Xenopus tropicalis: one gene and its partner. The protein of the gene in region 2 interacts with the protein of the main gene of each other region in a biochemical or structural test. Links are inferred from orthologs where the notes say so. Each region holds a gene or a part of one and is shown on either strand. Other genes may lie near its edges.

Region 1 (3,932 bases), on a different chromosome or scaffold from region 2:
CACTGTATTTATCCTGCCGTGGGTTCTGGGGTATTATACATGGAATTGGCACTGTATTTATCCTGCTGTGGGTTCTGGGGTATTATACATGGAATTGGCACTGTATTTATCCTGCTGTGGGTTCTGGGGTATTATACATGGAATTGGCACTGTATTTATCCTGCTGTGGGTTCTGGGGTATTATACATGGAATTGGCACTGTATTTATCCTGCTGTGGGTTCTGGGGTATTATACATGGAATTGGCATTGTATTTATCCTGCTGTGGGTTCTGGGGTATTATACATGGAATTGGCACTGTATTTATTCTGAGGTGTTCAAGGGACAATGTATGGAATTTGCATTGCATGTACGCTAGGGTATTATGTATGAAATTGCCACTTCATGTATCCTGCAAGGTGCTCAGTATAAGAAACCCTGGAAAATGCCTTTGCATAGAAGACTTTACACAGTGGCAGTGTGCTCCAGACATAATCTGTTCCTCAGTTTTATTGAGCTATAGTTCATTCACCTGTTCTGACTGAGCCAAAAATAAGCCGGGTATAAAGTTGAAAGGTAAAGAAGCGGTCAAATGAGAGCACTGTTAAAGGAGTGCTGATGCAATGAAAATGTACGAAAAATGACACTTTTTTCCTCTCTTTTCAGTAGGAAGGTGACGTTATCTAGATATTCTTGGCCAATTCCATGCAAAGGTAAGTAATATGGTATGTTGTACTGCTTCTGCGGCATACAGAATGTGCATCATACAACTTCAGTACATCAGTATAAAACTAATATGCTTGTTTATAGTGAGCAGTAACTTTAGAGCAAAGGACCTTTGTTTTAAAAAAAAAACCAACAGCTTCTTTATACATACATACATACATCCCAGAACACACGGCAGGATAAATACAGTGCCATTTCTATGTATAAGGGTGAAGACACATGGAGCTACTAGTAGCAGTTACTAGTAGTGGCTACTAAAACAGACAATGCTGATCATTTACTGATAATTGTCCCTATGTGTGTTTTAGCAGAGGCAATTCTCAGTAATGTCTATGGTATTTTCTGGAGTTTAGTAGCCCCGACAAGTAGCTGCTACTAAGTAGCTCCATGTGTCTTACCTTAATGCTGCTAAAAGACATTTTGGAAGCCACATGATCTGTTCTGCATACAGTTATCATGGCTGTTTGTATCCTTTATTCCTATATGATTTGTTCTACTTATAAGCTTCCACCCTTGCATATCTTTATTATTAGAAGCTTCAGAGCTCACTTACCATTCCATAGAGTTTTCCCTCGGACCCCATGCACAGGTACAGAGAGCTGCGATACCCTTTAATGGCAACAATTCCAACTGCAATTGCTCTGATTTCCAATAAACCTGCACATATAAAAACAAAAATGATTCAGATGGAAGATCCTAGATTTAATTCTATCATCTGCAAACGGTTTATATGTTTCCTGATTAAATTGACCTTAGTCTTTGTATGTATGTGATAGGGGCAATATAGTTTAACATTCACTGGGTCAAGAATCTTGGTAAAGCACTATGGAATATGTTAGGTCCGTTATCTGGAAACCCGTTATCTAGAAAGCTCCAAATTATGGGAAGGTCACCTCCCATAGACTTCATTATAACCAAATAATTCTAATTTTTAAAAATGATTTCCTTTTTCACTATAATAATAATACAGTCCCTGTACTAAGATATTATTAATCCTTATTGGAGGCAGAACAATCCTATTGGGTTTATTTCATGTTTAAATGATTCCCTTTTCTCTGTAATAATAAAACAGTACCTGTACTTGATCCCAACTAAGATATAATTACCCCTTATTGGGGGCAGAACAGCCCTATTGGGTTTATTTAATGGTTAAATGATTCCCTTTTCTCTGTAATAATAAAACAGTACCTGTACTTGATCCCAACTAAGATATAATTACCCCTTATTGGGGGCAGAACAGCCCTATTGGGTTTATTTAATGGTTAAATGATTCCCTTTTCTCTGTAATAATAAAACAGTACCTGTACTTGATCCCAACTAAGATATAATTACCCCTTATTGGGGGCAGAACAGCCCTATTGGGTTTATTTAATGGTTAAATGATTCCCTTTTCTCTGTAATAATAAAACAGTACCTGTACTTGATCCCAACTAAGATATAATTACCCCTTATTGGGGGCAGAACAGCCCTATTGGGTTTATTTAATGGTTAAATGATTCCCTTTTCTCTGTAACAATAAAACAGTACCTGTACTTGATCCCAACTAAGATATAATTACCCCTTATTGGGGGCAGAACAGCCCTATTGGGTTTATTTAATGGTTAAATGATTCCCTTTTCTCTGTAATAATAAAACAGTACCTGTACTTGATCCCAACTAAGATATAATTACCCCTTATTGGGGGCAGAACAGCCCTATTGGGTTTATTTCATGGTTAAATGATTTTTTTTTTTTAGCAGATTTAAGGTATGGAGATTACAGATTACAGATTACAGAAAGAAGCCCCAGTTCGCAAGGATTCTAGATAACAGGTCCCATCACTGTGCTATATAAATAATTATTAATAACAATAATAGTTCATTTGATTCAGAAACAATTGATGTGATTTATTCATAGATAGTTTTGCTCTACGTTACACTTACTGTGCATGCTTTGTTGCCTGTCACCATCGACTCTGCCATCCTCGTGTATCCGGAGGTAGTAGCTGTCGTGCCCGAACCTCCTGGCCGTATACAGGTGCCGAATTCTGATCGACTCCCCCCAGCCGTTCTGCATGTGCGGCCCGGCATCAAAAAGCGGCAGACTTTCCGCCCCTCCGAGGAAATACAGCACGGCCACCATCATGGGAACCAAAATCCAAGGCAGGGTCTTCCACATCTTCCCAGGGTTGGAAATGGCAATTTGAGAGCTCACACACACACACAAAGAGTCAGTAACACTAAAGTTGCTTGAGACAGACTGTCAGGCAATGCTTTTTTTTTTTTTTTTTAACCTAATTGCCTCGGGGCTGTAGTAAATACAAGCCAATCCCCAGCCTTTTATAGGACTCTTATCAGCTCCATAGATAAGGTCATACTATTTTCAATAAGTAGACCTTTCATAGTAAGCACAGACCTCCCCTTCCTATCATCATTACATCACCCTCACAGGTTACATACTCGGGTTTTTAGCTGTTTCATTATTCCTATTTGTTACCCCTGTTATTAAGGAAAATGTTTGTATAACTGAGATATTTTATGTGTAATTGTATCTTTGTCTTTTAAATCGGATCCGGATTTGGAAAAATGTTCAAAATTTTTTAAAAAAACGGATATATCTGTGTATACCTTGTACTGGGGGAGGGATAGTTGTCCTTTTATTGCCAAGCAGAGTAAGTGAGACATTTGTTAACAATGGCACATACCCCTGCCTATGGGTCCTCCTTTAATGGGAGGCTATTAGTACGTAGACCCTTCTGTGTCAGAGACTTTTCTTTGTCTCGCTGAAAGGAAAGCCCTTTAGGTCTGATCCACCTTTTTGGATTAGCAGCCTGCGGGTGTGGGACTACAATTCCCATCATGCTGGGGTGGGAGGGGGTGTTGCACTACAATTTTTGGCAGAATTCAAACCTGACCTGCAGTTTAAACTAAGAAATGTTAAAGTCCACAGTTACTTGGAAAATACAGCAGTGAATGAAACGTGTAGCCTTTTACTCCACCGTGGTCTCTGATTGGATGCTACACCAATATACGCCATACACTATTCACAAAAATGAAATTTAACCTTTTAATTGTGAACTGGGTATGCAGACTATAATGCGACAAAATGGCAGCACGTGACAAAATTGTATAGAACTGTAAAGGTGCCCATACTCATGCAGATTTAAGCTGCCAATTTGGCTCCTTCAGCTTATCTGCCTGTGTGTGGGGCCCTCCGACGGGCTTCCCGGGCTGAAAATCGTCCAGTTCG
Region 2 (3,832 bases):
TCCAGTGACTGATAATGTAGCCTATCATTAACATCTACTCTCCAAGGCCTTATCATTCATAGAACTGAACAGCAAGTTTTAAGCTTTATCTCAGCAAGCATCTCACAGCATCTAGAATATTTTGACCATTTCAAAATCTATGTTTGGTGTAATCCTCTTTCACTAGCCAGCTTCACTTGTGCTCCTTGTAGGGTACTTAAAATCTTGCTTTTCAATGGATAAACAACTTTTCACAGTTATACAACAAAATGATTTTAGTAGCTAACATACCTAGCACATCCAAAAAGTAGGTATATGTAAGGCTGCCAATTCTGTTCTCCACCACACAGGTGTAGTTGCCACGGTCTGATGGAACCACACTTTCCATTACCAGACTCCAGTGTTGATGCCGAAGCTGTTGGAGTAGATGGATGAAAATATTAGGATTACTCCCAAAATCATAATGTTTTATAAGTCAAAATTAAACATCTATAATTAAACAAGTATTGAAGCAATGCTGTGCATAAAGCCAGAGATGCCACAGCTTACCTGGATCCCACCAATTCTGTGCTCCCCTCGAAATTCTCTGCCATTTTTTAGCCATCGAATAGTGGGAAGAGGACTTCCACCAGCCGGACAGCGGAACTTGACAGTGTTACCAGCTGGTACAGCATGAAGTTTCTTGTCCATGCGGTGTGGCTGGGTCCAGTATGGTGCTGAATGATAGAAGTAAGGATTTATTAGTAATCAAAAAGTTACATTTTGAAATTATTATTGGATCAACTGACTAAGATTGTTTAGTTAATAAACCCCCTTCAAATATTCTTGAGGAGCCATATATCTCTCTATCTATAATATTAATTCCAGCCATCTTTGGAATGTACGAATATGCTGTAAAAGAGCTTCAATGGTTTATTATTTGCTTCATTCCAAAAAGTGCCAAAAAACTGTGTTTCATACAGAACTGTGCCTTCTATTTCTGTAGTAGTAAGCCACATTTGCACAATTACGATATTGATGAGGAACAGGGACCTTTAGCTTGGATTTTGGGTTGTTTCTTAGCTCATTTTATTTATTTATTTTGCTCTTGGTCTTTCTCTTAGCTCCAGGGCACATCTGAATGTATACATCTTTTAAAGACATCACAGACTGTCTGGTCTTTGGTATGTGGAGAACTCCAGATAAAGACTGTCCAGCACTGAAACTATAGTATTTTATGGCTCTAATAGTAGTGGTTTGAGGGTCATTATAACCTCTAATTACCTATAGCCATATATGCTCTCTCACCTTGGAAAAAATAAACAGGCTCCTCATTAATATCAGCGGCTGAGTCCTCCCTACGGCCATCCTCATCATCTTCTTCATCTCCAGATGCCAACGAGTCTACGAGAAAATTGTAATGATAAATGAGAATAGCAGACTGCTGATCTGATGCTCTGCTGGAGCCTAGTGTTAGCAGAAACAGTATGTAATTATGTGAAGCTGTAATAACTTTTGAAAACTTTACAATGACAACTTTAAAATACGTTGGAGGCTCCAGCACTGAACTGGGGTATCCTTGCAGACTTTTAACATTATATAATGTAAAAGCTTTAGCAGCTTTCTGTACATCAATCCCACAAGGTAAATACCCTCTTTTAAATCACTTACCAACAACAGATATAGAGAACCTTCGAAGGATTTTGCCTGTTCCTCTGACCACACATATATAAAGGCCAGAGTCTTCATAGGTCACATCTGAGACTTCTAGCACAGTTCCCACCATGCGAATCTTCCCTCCCGGCAGCAAACGTTCCTGCTCACGGTACCAGTTGATGCTGCTGCTTTGGTTGGTGTCACAAAACAGTCGCAGAGCATTCCCAGGGTCTAGAAGTAGATGTTCTTCAACGTCAGACTCAGATATTTCTGTTTCCCCTAGAGAAAAACCCATAACAAAAGGTAAAATGAAAACCAATGAACATATCACCTTAAAATTATATATATTCTGTAATCTCTCTTTAAGAGGTATTCTCTGCATTAATAAGAAAGACAACAATGGACAATTGGCTAGTCTACGGAGTACAGAAACATGCATATCACATTATCCCATATAACAAAGGATGATGATTAAGGAAGGAACTTGATGATTACAGACAGATTTAAAGTGTGAAAATGTAAAATGTTTCCCTTCCTCCCATGGTGTTTATTTAACCAGCAGCTGAACTTCATTGGTGTTTTCTTTTTGAGTTTTGATGTGAAGACAACACACTTCACATTGGCGCCATTTTTCTCACCTAAGCCACTTATATCCCTGTGAACTTGTGATTTGACCAGCATGTCAACCTTTAACCTCCCAAGAAACCCCTAGACATTATGCTGCTAAGCAACAAGAGCCCCTTTGTTTCCCAATGCCAACAGGGGGGCCATCCTATCAGGGGTGGCAATAAGGATATTTTAATGTTTAATTCAAGGCCACTCTATTTACACCTAAGCAGCAGTTTATCAGTTTTCCCTTACAGTTTAAATTCTGAATTGATGGGGGCTCAATATACATAGCCATATTTATAATGAAGGCACAGCAATGCAGAATTATAACTGTAATCTTTTATAAGTGATATACAAGAAATAACACTATTTAAAAGATTAACTGTAAATGTTTCAGAAGTGCCCAGATATGCAGCGAATACTTTTAGTTATGCGATCCAGTTCTACTATTGCTGACCTACTGCCCATCTCTATCGTGAGAGTGCCATGAAAAATGTAACCTAATTACATTACATGTAATTCCATTCTACTGCTGTATTTAAACTAATCAGCATATATTATCAAGCAGCACTGGGGAGGGTGATCTAACAAAGTGGTCACTGCCCTATGTTTGTGATATTCTCATCACTAGTTTGAGATCTACAGGAAGACCATGATCCTCATTATGGGCAATGTCCGCCTGTACTAAAATTAACACAACACAGTAATTATATTAGAGACATCAACAGATTAGACCTGTCCCAGAATCCAACCCACCCAGGCTTACTGGAGCGTACACACTCTTTATTAAAAAGGTATAATATACCCTATTTCCAAAATGGGAAATGTTCAATAAATCATAACATACGTTTAGGTTATTTATTATAGTAAATGTAATTTATTTTGAACATTTTGTCTCTATTCTGCACTTGTGTGGTTTCTGGTTACAGCTCTACTGGTGGTAAGGCGGTCATAAAAACGGATAAATATTTGTATATCAATCAATATTATAGAATAAAATAATAAGTTATATATTTGCAATCTGTGTTTTCAAAATCCATACCTGGACAATAGCATGTCCCTCTGGATTCCAAATATTAGTATGATTAGTTACTGTGATACCATACCGAGAATGGAATTACTGGAAAAAATTAGTCCCCATGTGCTTAACCACTCCATCACCACATAATTTACACATTATTTCAAGATATTTTTGAAGATTCTCATGCATCCAGGTCATGATATACAGTATCTAGTAGAATGAAGTCTAAAGCTGCTGGAGAGTTTTCTCAGAAACGTTTCACCACTCATCTGAAGAGGCCAATCTGATGAAAAGCGAAACTCTGAAAGTATACTAGTATCTACTGGATACTATTATTTCAAGACTTTTAATTAGTGAGGCACTGCTAGTAAAATTTGAGCAAAGGAAAAGCACTTTCCCAGCCTGCTTTATGAATTGATCAGTCATACTAACTTTTTGTGCTATATCTGGAAGCTCATCCACTGAAATACCACTGGCCTCTAGTGGTCAATTAATCATGGAAAAGTGGCAAACAACTTGCTTGATGGTATTCAGCAGCAACTATTTGAATGGATTCTCTCTCCAACGGGAGCTTCAGTTGCTTTAGTC

The links.
Region 1: the proteins of fgfr4 (region 2) and fgf19 form a complex in vitro, tested with the Homo sapiens proteins (2 studies listed by BioGRID and IntAct). The link is inferred for Xenopus tropicalis from reciprocal best matches to the Homo sapiens genes FGFR4 and FGF19.

What each region holds. Positions count from the first base shown.
Region 1 is NC_030680.2:12,860,730-12,864,661, reverse strand, and holds the start of fgf19 (fibroblast growth factor 19 precursor), read right to left. Parts: upstream 2,862-3,932; coding exon 2,627-2,861; intron 1,362-2,626; coding exon 1,258-1,361; intron 1-1,257. UniProt on the Homo sapiens protein: Involved in the suppression of bile acid biosynthesis through down-regulation of CYP7A1 expression, following positive regulation of the JNK and ERK1/2 cascades. Stimulates glucose uptake in adipocytes. Activity requires the presence of KLB and FGFR4.
Region 2 is NC_030679.2:46,326,394-46,330,225, forward strand, and holds part of fgfr4 (fibroblast growth factor receptor 4 precursor), read right to left. Parts: intron 1,894-3,832; coding exon 1,630-1,893; intron 1,363-1,629; coding exon 1,267-1,362; intron 696-1,266; coding exon 529-695; intron 395-528; coding exon 271-394; intron 1-270. UniProt on the Homo sapiens protein: Tyrosine-protein kinase that acts as a cell-surface receptor for fibroblast growth factors and plays a role in the regulation of cell proliferation, differentiation and migration, and in regulation of lipid metabolism, bile acid biosynthesis, glucose uptake, vitamin D metabolism and phosphate homeostasis.